5 linked regions of the Coturnix japonica genome follow. The protein of the gene in region 4 purifies or fractionates together with the protein of the main gene of each other region. This does not show direct contact. Links are inferred from orthologs where the notes say so. Each region holds a gene or a part of one and is shown on either strand. Other genes may lie near its edges. The genes, in order: CCT7, TUBGCP4, TUBGCP6, NEDD1 and C6H10orf88.

Region 1 (3,993 bases), on a different chromosome or scaffold from region 4:
GATGTGGTCAGTGGGGATGGTTGGGTGGGTTGATGGTTGAACTCAATGTCTTGTCTTTACCAGCCTTAATACCAAAGCTTGCCCAGTAGATGATGCACAAGACAGGGACTATGGGGACTATAGGGATTGTTTGCCTGGCATCATCCCTCACTCAGAACCTCAGACTCTGGATAAATAGAAAACAGACACGTACCCCCTCTCCACCAAAGCAATCTGGTCCTGGATGAAGACCCCATTGTTCAGCTCTCCACAGGCCTCGGGGGGATCTGCTGGCACCAGGTGGATCTGGTCATACCTTGTGTTCTCCAAGCATGAAACAAGGAGGGAGTGAGTAGGATCAGGGTTGTTCCCAACCCCGCTCATCCCCTCCAGCACAAGCCAAAGGGAAAGCTTGTAGAAAAGCAATTGGATCTATTCTTATAGAAGGTTTTAAGGCCGTGCAGTGGAGGAACAGAAGGATGGGGAAGCTGAATTGAGTTCTTAATACTTACAAACACCCCACCGAAGTCTTTGGCTGGAGTGGCAGTGAAGATATAGCGGATGTCTCCAGGGCTCAGCACTTGGAAATAGAGATACTCATGGATACGTAAAGCTGTAGGGAGAAATAGAAGGGAGGAAATGGGAGGATTAGGAAAGTAAATGGGGAATAACTGAGCCTATATAGGGAGGGGAAATGCAGCCAGGTTTGTGTGTATAGGAGGAAAATGAACTCGGATTGTGATGTATGGAAGGGCCAGTGTGCTCCGAGGTAAAATACAACTAGATTGGGGTGAATTGAGGGGAAATTGGGTCAAGTCGGGGAAATACACCCAGATTGAGGGAGAAAGGGGCCCATTAGGCCACGGAGCACCGAGGGGAAGCGCTATAGGGCATAGCCGGGATATGGGGGGCTCAAAGCAGCCGGGTGGGGTCACAGGGGTCGGTGGGGGTCTATGGGGGGCGGCACTCACCGCGTCCCGGGCAGGAGCAGAGATAGAGCCAGAGCCATAGCGAGCGGCGGAGCATGGCTGCGCTCAGCGCCCCGCCCCACCCCGCGCTCATTGGAGGAGCTACTCCGAGCGAGCCTTCCTATTGGTTGGCGCTGCTGCCATTCACCGGGACCGCCGCTCCTGTCATCTCGCTCCGCCGCAGCGGTTGGCGCCCGTCGCTTCATCTCTATGGTCATTGGGGGAAAGAAGGGCGCCTCGCTGCGGCCGCTCTGTCCTCCCTCACCATAGAGCGCGGCCGGAAGCCGTGGCTCAGGGAAGCTTCTGGGCGGCGCGGTGCATTGTGGGTGCGGGCCTGGCTCGGTGCAGGGAGCGGCAGCGAGGAGCGCCGCCATGATGGTGAGCGCAATCCTCCGCCATCCGCGTGCTGTATCGCTCCGTGTCGGCTCGTTCGGCCTCCGTGAGGCTGTGGGAGCCGTTGTGGTGGAGCCGAGCGGCGTTTGGGGCGGCTGGGAGGGGGGGATGGCGGCCGGGAGGGGGGGATGGCGGCGGGGTTGGGCCTGGGGCCTACACGGGGCTGTGTGAGGGAGTAGGCCCCGGGGGTCCCAGCGGTGTGAGATGGGACCCATAGGCCGGGGATAGAGGGGTGGGTCGGTCATTGTGGATGCTCTGAGCCCACATAGCGATGCTGGGGAGCGGGCAGGGTGCGGGATACGGCGTGTTCCCATTCAAAGAGATCTCTATAGGGTGTAGGTGGCGGTGATGCTCATAACCCCCTTTCCTTTTTTCCCTTTTCTGCTCCCCCCCAGGCCCTTGGCAGCATTTTTCAGTGTAGACATCATACAGTGCAGCACTCATGGTGTAATATTCCCCTTTGCCTCCAAGCAGTTACTTCAATCAGGGTACCTAACAAAACTGGGTGGTGCTAGGGCATAAAGCTTTGCCTGCAGGGCATGTCTGGTCACTTTAAGGGCAGGCCATCTCCTGGAGCACAGGAGGTTTTGCCTTTGGTATTTTATAGCCCCTATCTGAATGCTTGAGCTGTAACCACTTTGATATTGTTCTCCATGTGCTAAATGTGAGCATGTTTTTCAGCATCCTTGGGGTCATGCAGACTGTTGTGGTTATTCTGCTGAGCAGGGCTGTCCTTAACAGTCTGGGCACTGAAATCGGGACTTCATAGGGCTGTGCTGTAGGGAAGGAAGCTGTAGTGATAGGTCAAGGGGGAATGGTTTGAAACTGAGACAGGGGAGGTTTAGGTTGGATCTTAGGAGGAAGTTTTTCACCCAGAGGGTGGTGATGCACTGGAACAGGTTGCCCAAGGAGGCTGTGGATGCCCCATCCCTGCAGGCATTCAAGGCCAGGCTGGATGTGGCTCTGGGCAGCCTGGTCTGCTGGTTGGTGACCCTGCCCATAGCAGGGGGTTGAAACCAGTTGATCACTGTGGTCCTTTTCAACTCAGACCATTCTATGATGCTGTGAGTTCTATGATTCTCAGCTCAGTTAGTTTGTGAACTTTGTTAATAGTGTGAACTTGCTGGGCTGCGTGTTGAGATTGGACTAACAGCTCTGTCCTGGTTTCTCTCCTCAGCCAACACCGGTTATCCTGCTGAAGGAGGGCACTGACACCTCGCAGGGGATTCCTCAGCTCGTCAGCAACATCAATGCCTGCCAGGTGATCGCCGAGGCTGTACGCACCACCCTGGGACCACGGGGCATGGACAAACTCATTGTGGATGACAGAGGTGAGCACTGCACAGCAGCCTCTCTACAGCAAGACTGGGAAAGCTCTGTTCGATGTGTGTTGTTTCAAGGCAGTAAGAGCTTTATTTGGGGCTTAGCTTCTTTTTCTGAATTTCTTGTAGGCAAAGCCACCATCTCTAACGACGGGGCCACCATCCTGAAGCTCCTTGATGTTGTCCATCCGGCTGCGAAGACGTTGGTGGACATTGCTAAATCTCAGGATGCAGAGGTAGGAGGGTAACCTGGACAGGATGCAGCAGCATGTTGGCTTTGCGTTAAGTGGTCAAACTCGGTTGTGGCGTGCTGCTGTTTATCCTGGTTTCTTCATTGCTTTCATCTTTTTTGTGATAACTTTAAAACGCTTGGCTGGGTTTTCTGCCAGATTTAGTAGAAGGGTTTGGAGGCTTTATGGATGCAAAATGTCATGAACAGAGGTGGCTGGGAGATGGGAAACTTCAAACAGAGTGCAGTCTGAACCCAGCTTGTGCTTAATCACTGAAGGAATCAGCCACAGTTCTGTGAGCAATGAGAGTTAGGAAGTCTGTTTTCCTCTGGAGGCCTCTGCTGTACATAGGTGACTAAAGTGTTCTGTCCATACAGGTTGGTGATGGCACCACGTCCGTAACTCTGCTTGCTGCTGAGTTCCTGAAACAAGTGAAGCCCTACGTGGAGGAAGGCCTTCATCCTCAGATCATCATCCGTGCCTTCCGCACAGCCACACAGTTGGTAAGGCAGCACTGTGCAGAATGGGGTGGCTCTGCTTGGTCTTTTTTTTCCTGTTTTATTCCATTTTTCCTTTTCACTGGGTTAGAAGGCTTTTAAACATATGAGGATCACAGTAAAATCCCACCAGAGTCTGTTAAAAGTTATTTTTTTATGGTGTAAGAAGGAGGAAATTACTCTGGAACACCTCTCCTATGAAGAAAAGTTGAGGGAACTGGGCTTGTTTAGCTTGGAAAATAGAAGGGAATATGTAAACAGGAGGGGGAACAGCTGTTAATGAGGGTGGATAGTGATAGGACAAGGGGGAATGGTTATAAACAGGAGGTTTAGGTTGGATCTTAGGAGGAAGTTTTTCACCCAGAGGGTGGTGACACACTGGAACAGGTTGCTCAAAGGAGGCTGTGGATGCCCCATCCTTGCAGGCATTCAAGGCCAGGCTGGATGTGGCTCTGGGCAGCCTGGTCTGCTGGTTGATGACCCTGCCCATAGCAGGGGGTTGAAACCAGATGATTATCGTGGGCCTTTTCAGCCCAGGCCATTCTGTGATTCTGTAATTCATTTAGCATGTAATCATTAAAGCGGGAAGTGTTACAGCAGTCGG
Region 2 (3,513 bases), on a different chromosome or scaffold from region 4:
ATGCTTTACTGTCTTATGTTTTATACTTTCTTCTTTTAGGTAACTCTCTTTTCATTTCCCAAGATCATGAGTACAGTGATAGAACTTAGTCAGAGACAGAGTTAAAGGAGAAAATGTATGTGGTTTTGTGCTTTGCATCTCAGAGATTCATTTTATTGCTTGCAGTGCATTGCACTGTAGACTTTCTGGCCACTGGATGAAGTTTACAGCTCTCCAGCTGTGTTTTGAAATGGCAGAAATTGTCCAAGTAATCAAAAAGCATTACCAGTTATAATGCTTACTCTTTCTGCTCAGTTTTTTATATGCTTACATATAAAAACTTTTCTAAACAGATTATAAAAGACTTTTACCTTTTGGGAAGAGGCGAGCTGTTTCAGGCCTTCATTGACACTGCACAGCACATGTTAAAAACACCACCTACGGCTGTAACAGAACATGGTGAGTGCTGATTACTCATCTACAAAATGTCCTCCCTGTGCTCTGGCAGGAAAATAGTAAAGTCCAGTGCAGATTTCCTTATCTTATCCTCTGAATGTTTTCATTAGTTTTGAAAGAGCAGTACTTCTGAATTACAGAATAATGCACATTGGGCAAAAATAACATCTTTCAGTAACTTTCAGATGATAGCTTTCTCTCCGTATTGAAGAGCGAAGTTAAAGTAGTGAAAGTAGTGTTGGTCTTTTATGGCCCAACGTAAATAATTAATAGGTGCAAAATAAGCACTGTCCCTATCTTGAGTTTTCTGTTAATATTTGTGTTTTCTCTCTATCAGACATCAATGTTGCATTTCAGCAGTCTGCTCATAAGGTACTGTTAGATGATGACAACCTTCTTCCTTTGCTTCACTTGACCATTGAGTATCATGGAAAGGAGCATAAAGGTATCTATTTGAATTTTTAGTAATGAGTTAAGAGGGATTATGACAATGACCTGGTTTTCAAAATCCTACTGCTCTCATGTGGATTTAAGAAATATTAAATTCTCTTCCTTAACAGCCCTGTGTGATACCCTAGTTTGCTTTTCCTCTTCTTGTTCTGTTCTTTCCCCTTTTCATTCTTCTCTGGAAGGCTTTGCCTTGACTGAGAGAAAGACGTAACTGAGCACCTTATCTGTTTTCAGATTCTTCTCAGACTCGTGAAGGGACTTCCCGAGAGTTATCTCCACGTGAAGCTCCTGCATCTGGCTGGGCAGCTCTGGGCCTTTCTTACAAAGTTCAGTGGCCACTGCATATTCTCTTTACTCCTGCTGTTTTGGAAAAGTAAGTACTAAGTATTGTCTTTGTGTCTGGAAGCTCCCTGATCTCAGGCTTTTTTCCCTTATAGAGAGCATATAAAAGGTATCTACCTATCTAAAGGTAGAGCTTTAGCACCTGAGCTTGCTCACTGAGCCTTACTCTTCCTACTTAGCAATGTTGAGGTTACTTGTTGCAGATGAGGCCATGGCTGAGCTGTCAGCAAAACAGATCTGTCAAAACTTCACCAGCTCTTTTCTGGTAATGTTAGAATTTGTTTTGTTTTTTTTTGTAATCAATAACCAATACAATCGAATCTGTTACTGAAATTGGCTGCTACTTCATCTACCCTGTCTGTTGGCAGGCAACTATCTGCCATTTCTCTTTCCAGTCTTACACTGTTGTGTTCTCCAGTACCTGTAATCAAGAAAGAGTTCTGTCCTAAACAGCTTTGTTCTTTTTTGACTGTAGGTACAATGTTGTGTTCAAATACCTGCTCAGCGTGCGACGGGTCCAGGCAGAGCTACAGCATTGCTGGGCTCTCCAGATGCAACGTAAACACCTGAAATCTAACAGAACTGATGCCATCAAGTGGCGTCTGAGGGACCACATGGCTTTTCTTGTGGACAATCTCCAGTATTATCTCCAAGTGAGTATTAAACAGAGTTGAACTTGTATCACTTAATTGGGAACTGACAGAAATCTAGGGTGGGAGCTCTGAAGTTTTAAACTACAACTTTCTCCAAGTTCCCGGATTCAGTGCTACAACTGTACAGTTAGTGGATATGTGAATCAATAGAGTTTTAAGTATTAATGGAAATGCAAATGTTTCTGGCTCTCTAGTGCTATTAAGGAGCTGTGAGAAGCCCCACTTACCCCTGAAGCTAAATCAATAAGCTGCATCCTGTCTTGGTCCTTTGCCCCTTGAAGTGAACTCTACTTTGTTGAGTAACAGTGAGTTCTTTTGGGTGGTTTTGTGTTTGTTTCTTTTAGTTAGGATTTTTTTTTTTTAATTGAAAGAAGCCATGTTCTCAGTTTCAAATCCCAACAGTAGTTAGTAGTAGCATAATTTTGCAAAAATCAATTTGTTAATAGCTACAACAGTGGAATCTAGGGGGTCTGATTTTCAGGCTTTCTGGAGTAATGGCTCAAGCCTTTGCCCTGATGAGCATATTATGCAGGCTTTGCCCATTGCTGGTGAAAGTGCATAGTTAGTGGTGGTGACTGTATTGAAAAACAGTGCTTTGTAGCCGTGAATGTGATTTATCGTACAGAAACAAATAGATTGCTCCAAAAGTCATGCTTCCTAAGTACTTTTTTCACTAGTTAGAAATTAACTGTTTTTCTGCATTTGGGATCAGTTCTTTCCTTATTACTGTACTACTGTTGTATATAGAACTCCATTAATGACGCAGATAGAAATCAATGCTCAGCCTCTAATATAAGGGTAGCGGTAGGGAAAGCAAATTTCTTATACAACTTCTAGCTGGTCTGAGGTATTCCTATTCTTCTAGGAAGCTGTTAATGTAAACTCTTTGCATATTCATCAGGTGGATGTACTGGAATCTCAGTTCTCACAGCTTCTCCAGCAAATAAATGCCACACGAGATTTTGAGAGTATACGACTGGCTCATGATCATTTCTTAAGTAATCTGTTGGCTCAGTCTTTCATCCTCCTAAAGCCTGTAAGTAGATCTTGTTTTCAACTCTTTTTCTATAAGTTGTTTTTTCCTCAAGAAAAAGGGCCTTGGTGACTACTGAAAAATATGGCATTAATATCATCTGGATTATGAATGCTTTAATTTTCAGGAACTAAAAACAAACTTCCTCTGAGGCTGAGCTCTGTATGTAATTGGTAACCTGTACTTTTTTTCCCTGTACAGGTTTTCCACTGTTTAAATGAAATTCTGGACCTTTGTCATAGTTTTTGTTCTCTGGTGAGTCAGAATCTGGGACCGTTAGATGAGCGTGGAGCTGCACAACTCAGTATTCTGGTGAAGGTGAATGTCTATTGATATGGTCTTGTTCATCTCCCTTGCAAACAGCTAAGCTTTAACTTTACTCTTGTTCTACGCTGAGATCAGACCTTCTGTGTGGACACTCAGAATTACTTGAATTAATCAATATCACCTTTTGGCTGCACCTAATTGTTTCGGCTCACAGGTTACCTTATAGTAGACCTCAAGCAAAAATCTTTTGCAGTGATACTTTTGAGAGGCTTTCCTGAACAGGTTTCCTGTAATTTGTAGGGGTTCAGTCGTCAGTCGTCGCTGCTCTTCAAG
Region 3 (3,513 bases), about 24 Mb from region 4:
TGCTAGGTGCTGTACTCTCCATCAGACTGGGATTTGAGATTTGTTGAAGAACATGCTGTGTTTTTTGTGTGGATATCATAATCTTATTAAGCCTGGGTGCCGTTCTTCATGTACAACTCCTGAGATCAGAGTGTGGCACACGCAGTGCCTGGACACTTACGGGTTTTCTGCATCTGAATAAGCATCAGAGAACAAAGTGTTAACAACATTTGTACAAATTGTAAGAGTTATCATTAATAATCTGCTTAAAAGACTTTCTGAGCAGTGCCATTTTATTCTTCTTAGAACTGCATGCATACAGAGGAGTAAGTTTCAGTTTTAACATTAAGAAACTTAGTGTTATTATTTCAGCGGTGATTGATTGTTGTTTTATATTTAGGCATTGGTGCCTTTGAAAATGGAACAAGTGAAGGAACATTTAAAGGAGAAACTTAGAGATGAAAGGAGTGGGCACTGGCTGAGTCGTATTGAGTCACTTGATCACAAATAATAGCAAAATCTTTATCAGCATATGTTTCTCTAGTAATGTTTTCATACGTAAAGCTTGAACTCTCTCTGACAGGTTCCTCAAAGCATAGACCAGTCAGAAGATGAAGGATTCCAGTCGGCATCCAATCTGACTCCTGATTCTCAGTCAGAGCCAAGCATGACTCCAGACATAGATCTGTGGGATGCAGTGCTTACATATGGGCCAAGCAAAAGAAGATGCTGGGAAAGAATTGGATAGTATGTATCTGATGTTATTGGCAAACTTCCTGTGCTTCACATGTGAATGTATGAAGGTGCAATTCATCTTAGTTCTGAATGACCTCAGTATAGGAGTTAAATATGCAATAGGAATATGCAGTATTCCTATTTAATGCATATTTAATATGTAGAATTCAATATATGTATTAATGATTGAGATCATGCCATTTCAGCGAACCAGCCTTTAGATTGCATCTGTTTCATGGGAAGAAAAAATTATCTTAGACCTAAAAACTGAAGGAGTTATGGCAACACTTTCTGATCATGTGAAATGCAACATTGCATACACAATGCAATTTATTTCAACCTAACATGATTTCATCTTTTCAGATTCAGAAGAGAAATTGCTAGAAGAATTAAACCCTTAAAAGTCAAATGCAGACCATATACCTGAAGCTTTCCTGTAAGAAATACTGCTAGAACTGTGAAGAGTTTGGAAGAGTTGGATGGGAAATTTGTTTTGGAGGGGATGGTAATCCCTGCTAGGAAGCGGTAGATCTATTTCTCACATAATCACCTTCCAATATTTTGTTTACTCTGGCAGCCCACCTGGTAAGAAGGAGGAGCCGTACCTTACTGAGGCTGGGAGAGAAGCTTTTGACAAGTTCTACAAGCTCCGAGAGGGGGAAATGCAGCTTTTCAGTAGTACCGTACTTCAGCTTCCACAGCTTGTGCTGATGAGGGAACCTGAACTGGTGAAGGATGTCTTGAATGTCCTCATTGGTGTGGTATCCACTACATTTTCACTCAACCAGGTATGAAATGTATTTAACTGCAATTCTCAGTTGCATTTGCTTTTTCTTTTTTTTCTTAGATACCTCCTTTTCAATACATGATTTATTTTGAGATCTCACAGTTGTGTTAAGAGGATAAGTGTGACTTAATTGCGATAACGTCACATCTGTACATTGTAATAACGACTTATAGGCAGGGAACAAGTATTTGTCAAAATAATTAGCAAAAATGAGCTAATTACAGAAAACAGAAGTTTGAATAATGTTGTAGGCTGGGTTTTCATGAAAAATTGTTATAATTAATCTTTTTTGACATACTTGAAAATGCACTTTTGAAGTTTTGCTACAATTTAATACTCTTATTATATTTTCCTACATATATAGTATGATTTACCAGAGTACCTATGCTGAAGATTTGTCTCTAAACGTTTGCTGTTTTAAATCAGAATGCAGCTGGGTAATATTTGAAGCCTATTTGCTTTCCTCTCCTGTTTCATTTTAGGCTGCTCAAACATTTATAATAAAGGAGGGGGTTTATGTGTCTGGAACTTCGCCGGAGACGATGCACAACCTGCTCTCAGAAGTTGCGGAATATGGAACCTACTACACACGGCTGAGTCGCTTCTCCCTTCAGCCAGTCTTAGATTCTTCGTACAGCAAAGGGCTTGTGTTTCAGGTAGCACCATTGTGTCAAATCACTTACGTTTGATGGGCCAGTTATTTTAGGCAGAGAACACAACTTTGATTTCATATAAGGCTGGAATTTCTTCCTTCTGCAGAACTGCGAAGTATTTTCAATACAAATATGTGTATTTATGTATCCTGGGTCAGCAAGGGACAGTGACACCGTGGAGCCCTGTTTAAATTGGAGCTGTGGTTGCTTAGGGTTTGTCTGCCCCAAAGCAACAAATGAAAGCTCTTCATTACTTGAACTGTGATTTGTTGTGTGGTTTTGTTGAGATCTAAAGGGGCAGAATTTAGAAGCATTTATATGTTAAAATGTATAACATTTATATATATATAACATGTATATATAAAATATAATACCTTTCTTAATACGGTATGCATATAAATAACATTGCATACATTACATTGATACTAAAATAGAGAAACATGCTATTTAATAGCTTTAATAACTTTTCTTAGATCAGAATTAAGCGCACATTTTACTTGTCAACCCTCTTTATATTTTTCTGAACTGTGTGTAGCTGCATGATACCAGGTACATTTCTCTTTCTAATGCATATAGTTCTTTTAGGATTAGTTATGAAAATATATGCCTCCTGAATATTTCATTTACAGTTACGTCAATAGAAATTGAACAGAAAAGTCTTATTTAATTCTAAGTCATGCTGGAAAAAGTAGATGTTTTTATAGGAGCTTTTTCCACTGCATAATTTAGGAATGGAAGTAAGGAAACAGGTTTCCCTGGGTTCATAATGAAGCTGCTAGAAAATCAGAATGCCTTCAAAAGGGCAGTTCAAGGAAGGTGAACCAAAATGCTCATTGTGTGCCTGGGTGCAGGCTTTGTGCATAGCATGTAGGAAGAGTATAAAGGAGTCATTTGGTTAATTGTATGCCTGAAGTTATGTGGACTCTTACTTTCCTACACGAGCCCCTCTTACTTTTACATGCAGATTATTTTATTAAAGGCTCATTTTCATGCCGGTTCAACTGATGTGAGATATAAGTAACTATTAACAGCTTTACCAGTAAGGCTTTGTAAATATTTTCTGTTGACAATAGGCTTTCACAAGTGGTCTGAGGAAGTATCTTCAGTATTACCGAGCCTGTGTTTTGTCTACTCCTCCTACTTTAAGTCTTCTGACCATCAGCTTTCTCTTCAGGAAACTGGGCCGTCAGTTGAGGTAAGAGAATAACATTAAATATTTAAGCTTTCCATAAAACACAAACTACAGTCTGTTTTTTTCCTTTACAAAACAGGAGAGTATTAGGCAGCCATTCTTACATAATTTTTCGGTATTCTTCCAGCAATTTCACATCAAGATTTCTTTATGTTCCCTTGGAAAAA
Region 4 (4,144 bases):
ATTGTAGCTGAAAGTTTGTCTCCATTCCACATCTGGAAAAGGAATTGGTAGTATTTCCAGATCTGATAAGCTGTGGGATAGTGTAAGGGAAGAGAGAGTACCGTGGGGACAAGTTGAAAGGACTGCAGAATGCACAGCGTTTATCTGCAGTGCATCTCCTGGATGATGCACAGGATGGCTCCTACTGGGAACCAAAGAAAAGTAAAAGCAGCATTTCCTTTACATTCCTTTGGTGTTCTCTGTTCTGTGAGCTGAATGTAGTAAGAAACCAGCAAGCAAAAATAAAGCTTCTGGTCCTGTAACGAATAACTGCATGTCCCAGGCTGTGGTGGGCCTCAGATTGAAACTGAATGGAACTGAATGCACTGACAACTCTGGAGGTGCTTATTTATTTATTTTTTTATGTTTATTTCATTCTTTCAAATTCTGCTTTGATATATTCTTAACTAATATTCCCTCCCCCCCCAATTGTGGCACTCGGAGGATCTGTCTCGCACCAACAGATATCCAGCAACTTGGAATTATTTCTGCTTAAATTAATTTGACGATGTGGAAATCGGTAATTTCACACACAGATTTATTCAATTGTATGTGAGTGGTTTTTAATTCCCACTACAGCTCCAGCTCACGTTCACGTTTTGTTTGGCATCAGGATTTCCCCAGTATTTGGAAGCCAGCAATCTAACAGAATAATCCCGGTAATGAGCCGCTCTATGCCTCAGTTTCTTTATTGGATGATGACAGCGATCCCTTCATCGCTGTGTATTATGGAGCTTTTTGCATCGACATCTGGAAAATGTTTTCAGATCCTTGAATTAAAGAGGCGGAGGATTGAAGTTATTAAGAAATTGATTCGCAGTGTAAAAGGAGCAGCCAGTTGTTTCCAAAACCGCTTTCAGTCAAATCCAAGAATAAAGATTTTAAACACTGAATAATGAGGGAACTCGAATTAATTGTTGGAATTACAGGCTAATATGCTGAACTAATTAAGCTAGCAGAGAGTTCCATTAATGTTTGCCAAAGATCCTCTTTGTGTTACAGATACCGAGTATATCATCAAATGGGAGAAATGAAAACACGAAGCATAGGTTTATGAGGGTGGAAGGGTCCAGGGGCAAGCGCAGAAGTGAAATATTAACCAGTGCAATTTAATTTTCCACTTTGAAACAAGAGATAATGAGAATGAATCATTGAGGATTCTACTCAACTAAGTAGTAACTCTCACTCTCACTTTGCCACCCCTCAGTGCTAACCCACAAGCACAGCGATGCTCTATGGTTGAACACCGGCTATATCCCATCCAGCACCCGCACCCCTCCAGCCCCGCCCCGCCCGGCTTCTCTCGTCCCCTCCGGGCCACCGTAGCGGCGTTGGGAGGCGGGTACGCGCGGGGGCTGTTGGGACGGGTTGTGAAGTTGGACGAGGCGCGGAAAGTCGGCGGTGAGTAGCGGAACCGGACAGAACCGCGAGCGGCGGCTGCTGAGCGCATCGGAGCGGCCCGCTCCTGCTGCCGGGCACGGGCACTGAGGAGCCGCCGCCGGGCGGGGAGGGGAAGGTGGGCGGCGGGGCCCAGAGATGCTGAGGGAACCTGTGGAGCGGCAGGGATGGGGGTCGGGGGGATCACCGTCAGCTTCTGCTTCTGAGTGAGGGGGAGCGGAGAGCGAAGCCGTGTGGGAGCGTCCCGTCAGAGCTCCCGGCTGGAGGCCTCTCAGCGTGTGTTGGTGCTGCTGGTGCTTCAGGTTACCCGGGTGTAAGCTCCACAGGGATGGGCCTCGGCTCCCAGCCGCAGCACAGTGCTGCAACACGGCGGGTTTTCCTGCTTCTGGAATATTGTATCCAGTTCTGGACTCCCCGGTACATAAAAGACAGGGATCTCTTGGAAAGAGTCCAGCGGAGGGCCACTAAGATGGTGAAGGGCCTGGAGCATCTCCCCTATGAGGAGAAACTACGTGAACTGGGTCTGTTCAGCCTTGAGAAAAGAAGGCTGAGAGGGGACTTGATCCAGGTTTATAAATACCTGAGGTGTGGGGGCCATGGTGGTGAGGCTGGTCTCTTTTCAGTAGTGCGTGGGGATAGGACTAGGGGTAATGGGATGAAACTACGGCATAGGAAGTTCTGCACCGATGTGCACAAGAACTTCTTTACAGTGAGGGTGACGGAGCACTGGAACAGGCTGCCCAGGGAGGTGGTGGAGTCTCCTTCTCTGGAGATATTCAAGACCCGCCTGGACGCCTACCTGTGTGACATGGTGTAGGGAGCCTGCTTTGGCAGGGGGGTTGGACTCGATGATCTCTAGAGGTCCCTTCCAACCCCTACAATTCTGTGATTCTATGATTCTTCATTTGTGAGCTGCCTTAAAAAAGACCTTGTAGTGTCACGTTTCAAGTAAATCACCTTGTTCTCGAGGGAACGGTGTTGAATGGGGCTGTTCTCGACTTGTAAAGTGACCTGTTGTGTGTTCTTCATTAATTTTATTATTATTATTATTTTCTTTGCAAATTAGGTGCAGCCATGCAAGAGAGCATTCGTTTTGCTTCATCAGGAGATGACATTAAGATATGGGATTCCTCATCTCTGACTGTGGTGGAGCAGTTCAACCCACATACATCTCCGCATCCCATCAGCTCTCTGTGCTGGGCCGCCAATAGTATCCTTTACAGCTTCAGTTCTGTGGGTGCTCTGCGGTGATTAAGTGTAGCAGGAAGGGGAGAGAAACAAGATCTGTGTATTTTTGTGCATACAAATGTGCGTGTGTATGTATATTTACTATGTCTATATACACACACATCTATATATGTCTGTGTCGATAAGTAAACTTGAGCATAGACACTTTTGTCCTACTTGCTTTATCTCTTTATCCCTGTCTCCAGAGCTGAACAGCATCCCGCTCCATATGCTTGTTAGGTTAAACAGTTGGGTTTCATTCTGCATAGTTCTTTAAGCTAAAATGTCTCAAAATAAAGTCACCACTCTGCATATCACCTTATAGTTGGACTAGATGATCTTAGTGGTCTTTTCCAACTTAATGATTCTGTGGTGTCAAATGCAGTCCTATAAGTTCTTAGTAAGTCTCCTTAGTAAGCAAATATAGAATCACAATGGGTATCAGCCTGAAGACGTAGGGGATGCAGATCTGAGTGATTACCCAAATAGTTTGGGGTTGGGTGCAGGGCCAGTTTCCTTACTCTGCTCCTATACTGGAGGCTTTTCTTAGCGCTTTGACCTACTTGGTGCAATAAAAGGTATTTTCTTCCTTTCCCCCTCCCCCATACAGACAGAGACAAGCTAGCAAACGTATTTATTGTATTCCAGGGACAATTAGACAAACTGCTTTAATTAACATTTATCACGTGCAGGACTTCTCAGTCAAATTCTTTTGCTCTTTCAATTTGTTCTGGTAGCAGCAGCAGGTGTCACTCTGAACTCCAGTGATAAAGGAGCTTGTACTTGGGCTGGTGGGGTTAAAAAGGAACTGGGTGAGCTGCCACAGGGAAGAGCTCTTAAACAATATCTGCCCGATATTTCTCCTCTGAAAGAAATGGCACTGCTTTGTATTGGGAAGCAAGAGCTGCAAACGCTACGAGAGCTTCTTAGGGGAAGCTCATTAAGTAGCCTTATGTTTCTATTTCTAGGGCCCTTCAAGGTGAAGTACTGCAGATAGTTTGGTTTCCTGTTAGCTTTCCAGTACGGGAGACTCACGGTTGCTATTAATGCAATTGAAAGTTTGATATGGTTATCATCCATAACTTGTCCCTAAGATAGCTTCCTGGTCAGTGCTTCAGCTGCTGGGGATAAAATCGTTGTGTCAAGCTGCAAAAGTAAACCTGTTCCACTCTTTGAAGTAGCTGAAGGAGTAAGTATGGGGTTGTGTGTGTGTGTGTGTGTGTGTGTGTATGTATGTATGTGTCCCCAAACCATCTTGTGTGCTGTTTGCATCTCATCTCTCCTGCACATTGATTGTCAGTTGGATTTTAGAGGGGTGAAAAGTGAATGTGAAGGGGACAGGTGGCACTATAAACTCTTCAGAAAGCCAGACTTGGTTTTGACAGGGTTACTCCAGTGACTCCTTGTAATCTAAGCCATTCTTGTTGTTCTCCTTAAGTAGCTACTGTAATGTTCATTTAATTGGGAGTCCTGGGAGGTG
Region 5 (3,974 bases), on a different chromosome or scaffold from region 4:
CAAAGAAAAGCAGGCCGTGCTTTAGCATGACTAGATTCCCTGCAGACACCTGGCTCTCAGCTGCTCCACACGGAACTAGAAGAATGAGGAACAGTCTGCTCTGAAGGTAAACAACAGAAAAGGCTCTCGGATACTTCATCTCTGCTAAGGAAACCGGGAAGTAAAAGTTCATCCATTAGGCTTGCAAGAAAACTGGTTAAGCAGCTTAAGGCAAACAAAAAGCAGCGCTCTGAAATGCTGATTGGAGGCAGACAGCCACATCATGCCAGAACCGAGCTGGTTCCTTCTGAAGGACTTTGACTGTAACCACATAACAGAGGTTATGTGAGACTCAAAGTGTCAGGTCTTGCTAGCTGTGATATTTGAGACATTTATGTGCTCTCTGGAATTCCAGCTACTTGTTTTCTATTAGTTTATCTTAGAAATACTTAAATTGCAGTGCGTACCAACACAGCTACATCTAACACAGGGATTTCAGCCACACCCCCCCTGCATTAAGGATAATTCTCCTCACCAAAAGCCTGTGATTTTGAAGGCTTCATCGCTCTTCCAGGATCAGAATAACCTTCCAAAGCACCAAGCAACAACATCAGCATCAAGATTAGGAAGGAAATGAATGCTCCTAAAGCTGAGTGAACACACAACGCATTTCAGAAGCACTGAGCAGCCTTAGAAACCCAAACAGGAGACCCAGGCAACACAGCATTCACACTTAAGACATTTACATGAAGTAATTAATTTTAATGAATTGTAAATTAAAGCAGAGCGAAGCCGTTTCTCCTAGTGCTGGTCAGTAGCATGAAATAACGGCTCAAGTGCAAAAATAAAACAAAAGTCAGAGATATTAGCAGTCGTGTTGTACTGAATAAGGACAATGCAAATCCATCTTCCTATTCCACAGCCCTAATTCACCTCCCTCAGCCCACAAGAACTCGATATCCGAGCTCCCTAGACTCGTATCCACACCAAAACGTAAAGAGACTCCATAAGCCTGGATCCTACTGCAAATTAAACGAGCTCAATCTTTAATTCATGCTCTGCTCTCTACGTGTCACACTATTAACATGCCATAAGCACAACAAGGCGATACAAAACTCCATCAACTCCTGAAGCACTGAGGAGAGCTCAAGCCCGCCCCGCGCATGCGCATTGCCCCGGCCTGGTGATGGCGAGCGGCGGCGCTCTGGGCCTTGCGCCTGCCCTGCATGGCGTGACCGTGGGCTGCTCGTGGCCCTGCGAGCCGCCCGACGGCCTGACCCGGGCTCTATGTGTGCGGAGCGGGGCGGGCTGCGATGAAACGAGGTGAGGGAGGACGAGGAGGAGGTAGCAGAAGCCCTGCGGCCGAGGGGCGGCGGAGGGCCGGGGTGGGGAGGCGGCCTGGAGAGGCAACGCGGCTCTCCCCGCTTCCCTCCTCAGCTGTGAGGCCGTGGTGGTGGTGGAGCGGCGGGATGGCGGCGGGGGTACGCCGTGTGTGCTGCAGCTGGAGTGCCGGAACGGAGCACAGCGGGTGGAGAAGGTCGGTGTGGTGAGCGAGGCCCGGCACATGGAGGTGTACGTGGGAGAGGAGTACTGCGGGACCGGCCGTGGGATGAGCGCTGGAGGCATGCAGCCCCCGGGGTGAGTGAGGAAACACAGCTGGGAGCTGATGGATTTTATTTGTTTTTAATTGGTTGTGAGGCACGTCTGCTTAATGAGTTAAATGAAAACTGTCATTTGCAGCTGTGCTGACCCGTGCTGTGCACACACACAAGGAATCACAACATTAAAACTGCCGCACTGCCCTAAGAAATACGTGTGGTGTCACAGATTGCTCCTTTTGTTTTTGCAGTGAAACTGAAAGTGTGAGTTTATACGAAAAGTATCTGAAATTGGAATGCCCGGCGACCTCTTGTAGGATTAAGGTAGGGAGTTTGGTGGAAATCTATCACTTCTCGTTGTCTTTTCCCGTCCTTGGAGGTGTTCAAGACCAGGTTGGATGGGGCCCTGGGCAACCTGATCTATGGGGTCTCTATGGGGATCTATGGGGTCTCCTGGGCAACCTGATGTAGTAAAGGTGTATGTTCGGTGGCCCTGCCAGGCAGGGGGGTTGGAACTACATGATCCTTGAGGTCCCTTCCAACCCAGGTCATTCTGTGTGATATTCAATCATTTGATTGGCTAAATTGCATTACCCTTCCCCCAATTACTGTTATTTCTATACCATAATCACATTACCACTTAAGACTGTTGTATGGCCTTTATAGCTCTCTTAATTTTCTATCTATGAAGTCACATATGAGAAAGTTGTTACCTCATACAGAAATGCCTTCATAAACCAAATACATTATAGGCAATCTGCAGTTGTAATATAATCAGAACTACTAACTACACTGTGAATGTGTACACTGGTAATGGGAACCCCGTGATGCAGATAAATAAGCTTAGGAAAACCTATACAGCTATTGCTGTATTTAAGTACTAATTGATGCTTTGATCATGCAAGTAACTTCTGTTGAGTCAGAATTCTGACCAAGAGAAAGAAATCAACTTGAATTCCTAACGTATTCATGCAAAGAAACCATTGAATTGTGTTTTTTTCCTTCCTAACCAAGATACCTTTTTTCCTTCTTGCAATAGCTGCTCTCCATTGGTGAGAAACAAAGGGTACTCATCAGTAAGATAATTGTACAAGTGAATACAGTTTCAGCAAAACTAGCAACTGATTTTCCTTCACTAGGATCAAGCATAGATCTAGACAGAGTGCAAACTATAATGGACTCTATGGGATCCAAGTTGTCTCCAGGTGCTCAGCAACTCATGGACATGGTTCGATATCAGCAGAAAGTAAGTTACTGTGCTGCTCCATAGACATCAATAGCGCTGTTCTGTGACTTTGCCTCCTGTGACAGTTAAGCACCTTCTAAGCTGATTCAGTGGAAAAAGTTCTGGTTGTTTTTGGCTTTCCTGTTGCTGCTCTTAAATGCTGCAGTGAATTAAGAACTCAAGGAGTCACATAAAGATCAGAGTTAAGAGCGTTGCATCATTGTCATCATTTTCATCTCCACTGTCGCCCTGTTGTCCGCTTGTCCATTTCACTTGTCACTTCTTGTGATTTCTTCATTGGTGGACATGTTTCTTGTTGCGCTTGGGGTGTAAGTAGATGGATGAGTTTGACTTTGTTGTTATTAAATGCATGACATGAAGTAAGTGAAGTTGTTTTGTTACTCAGAGCAACAAGGTAACAAGCACAGCACATGCAAGGAAAGTTTTTCTATGCTTTGCCCTATGAATATAATTCACAGCTACTTTTTAAGTCATTATATCATGCTAGTAGAATGCTCTAATCACTTGGAGTTAAACTTGTAGCCTGGGTGCTGTTACAGCACAACCTTCAGTATATTTTAGCACTTAATGTTTAAATGTACCTTTCTTCTTCCCATCAGAACAGTTTACCTCTTGGAGACAAACTTAGTTGGATGTTTGGGAAGAACTCAGACTTTGGAAACAAGCATCCGGTAGATGGATTACATGGTGCAGCCATTCAGACATCACTACATCAATCAGTCACTGAATCTTCATCAGTCAGAAGTCCTTTAACAAGTGAAACAGGATGTGAAAACTTAAATCTTGATCTGAAAGCACAGGTTCCTGAAGGAGAGGATGTTTCTAACTCTAAAGAACTTAATACACAGCAGAATACAGCTGACCTCAGAAATTATTTCAAAGCTATGGGGTCTTTGCTTATGCAGGAGCAAACAGATGGAATGCGGAACGTAGCTGCCCCACAGATGCTCCTTCCTTTTCTTCAGAACTTATGCAGTCAAGTTAATCATCTTCGGCTAAAAGACAGTGAAAGGCATCTCGATAAAAGCGTGGTGACTAAAGAAGAGGGCATTCAAACTGTTGGGTAAGTTAACTTAACTAGCAGCTTGTGCGTATTAGCAAGTCTAAATGAGTACACAAGCATTTTATTCTCACTGTTTGTACCAACAGTG

Evidence for each region.
Region 1: the proteins of NEDD1 (region 4) and CCT7 purify together in Homo sapiens (affinity purification with mass spectrometry; 3 studies listed by BioGRID and IntAct, counting the BioPlex papers as one, with this or other methods). This does not show direct contact. The link is inferred for Coturnix japonica from reciprocal best matches to the Homo sapiens genes NEDD1 and CCT7.
Region 2: the proteins of NEDD1 (region 4) and TUBGCP4 purify together in Homo sapiens (affinity purification with mass spectrometry; 3 studies listed by BioGRID and IntAct, with this or other methods). This does not show direct contact. The link is inferred for Coturnix japonica from reciprocal best matches to the Homo sapiens genes NEDD1 and TUBGCP4.
Region 3: the proteins of NEDD1 (region 4) and TUBGCP6 purify together in Homo sapiens (affinity purification with mass spectrometry; 3 studies listed by BioGRID and IntAct, with this or other methods). This does not show direct contact. The link is inferred for Coturnix japonica from reciprocal best matches to the Homo sapiens genes NEDD1 and TUBGCP6.
Region 5: the proteins of NEDD1 (region 4) and C6H10orf88 purify together in Homo sapiens (co-immunoprecipitation; 3 studies listed by BioGRID and IntAct, counting the BioPlex papers as one, with this or other methods). This does not show direct contact. The link is inferred for Coturnix japonica from reciprocal best matches to the Homo sapiens genes NEDD1 and C10orf88.

The regions. Positions count from the first base shown.
Region 1 is NC_029519.1:81,269,565-81,273,557, reverse strand, and holds the start of CCT7 (T-complex protein 1 subunit eta), read left to right. Parts: upstream 1-1,192; 5' UTR 1,193-1,319; coding exon 1,320-1,325; intron 1,326-2,517; coding exon 2,518-2,898; intron 2,899-3,269; coding exon 3,270-3,395; intron 3,396-3,993. Other genes in the region: PRADC1 (protease-associated domain-containing protein 1), read right to left, coding at 194-303, 492-592, 951-1,041. UniProt on the Homo sapiens protein: Component of the chaperonin-containing T-complex (TRiC), a molecular chaperone complex that assists the folding of actin, tubulin and other proteins upon ATP hydrolysis.
Region 2 is NC_029525.1:18,420,352-18,423,864, reverse strand, and holds part of TUBGCP4 (gamma-tubulin complex component 4), read left to right. Parts: intron 1-332; coding exon 333-438; intron 439-772; coding exon 773-880; intron 881-1,119; coding exon 1,120-1,258; intron 1,259-1,702; coding exon 1,703-1,880; intron 1,881-2,781; coding exon 2,782-2,916; intron 2,917-3,114; coding exon 3,115-3,231; intron 3,232-3,480; coding exon 3,481-3,513. UniProt on the Homo sapiens protein: Component of the gamma-tubulin ring complex (gTuRC) which mediates microtubule nucleation.
Region 3 is NC_029516.1:18,133,490-18,137,002, reverse strand, and holds part of TUBGCP6 (gamma-tubulin complex component 6), read left to right. Parts: intron 1-562; coding exon 563-726; intron 727-1,291; coding exon 1,292-1,502; intron 1,503-1,983; coding exon 1,984-2,157; intron 2,158-3,227; coding exon 3,228-3,349; intron 3,350-3,513. UniProt on the Homo sapiens protein: Component of the gamma-tubulin ring complex (gTuRC) which mediates microtubule nucleation.
Region 4 is NC_029516.1:41,887,405-41,891,548, forward strand, and holds the start of NEDD1 (protein NEDD1), read left to right. Parts: upstream 1-1,334; 5' UTR 1,335-1,440; intron 1,441-1,455; exon of another isoform or gene 1,456-1,555; intron 1,556-2,503; 5' UTR 2,504-2,511; coding exon 2,512-2,647; intron 2,648-3,758; coding exon 3,759-3,853; intron 3,854-4,144. UniProt on the Homo sapiens protein: Required for mitosis progression. Promotes the nucleation of microtubules from the spindle.
Region 5 is NC_029521.1:27,968,771-27,972,744, reverse strand, and holds the start of C6H10orf88 (ATPase PAAT), read left to right. Parts: upstream 1-1,165; coding exon 1,166-1,302; intron 1,303-1,416; coding exon 1,417-1,617; intron 1,618-1,828; coding exon 1,829-1,901; intron 1,902-2,616; coding exon 2,617-2,823; intron 2,824-3,422; coding exon 3,423-3,886; intron 3,887-3,974. Other genes in the region: disintegrin and metalloproteinase domain-containing protein 9-like, read right to left, coding at 1-172. UniProt on the Homo sapiens protein: ATPase that regulates mitochondrial ABC transporters ABCB7, ABCB8/MITOSUR and ABCB10. Regulates mitochondrial ferric concentration and heme biosynthesis and plays a role in the maintenance of mitochondrial homeostasis and cell survival.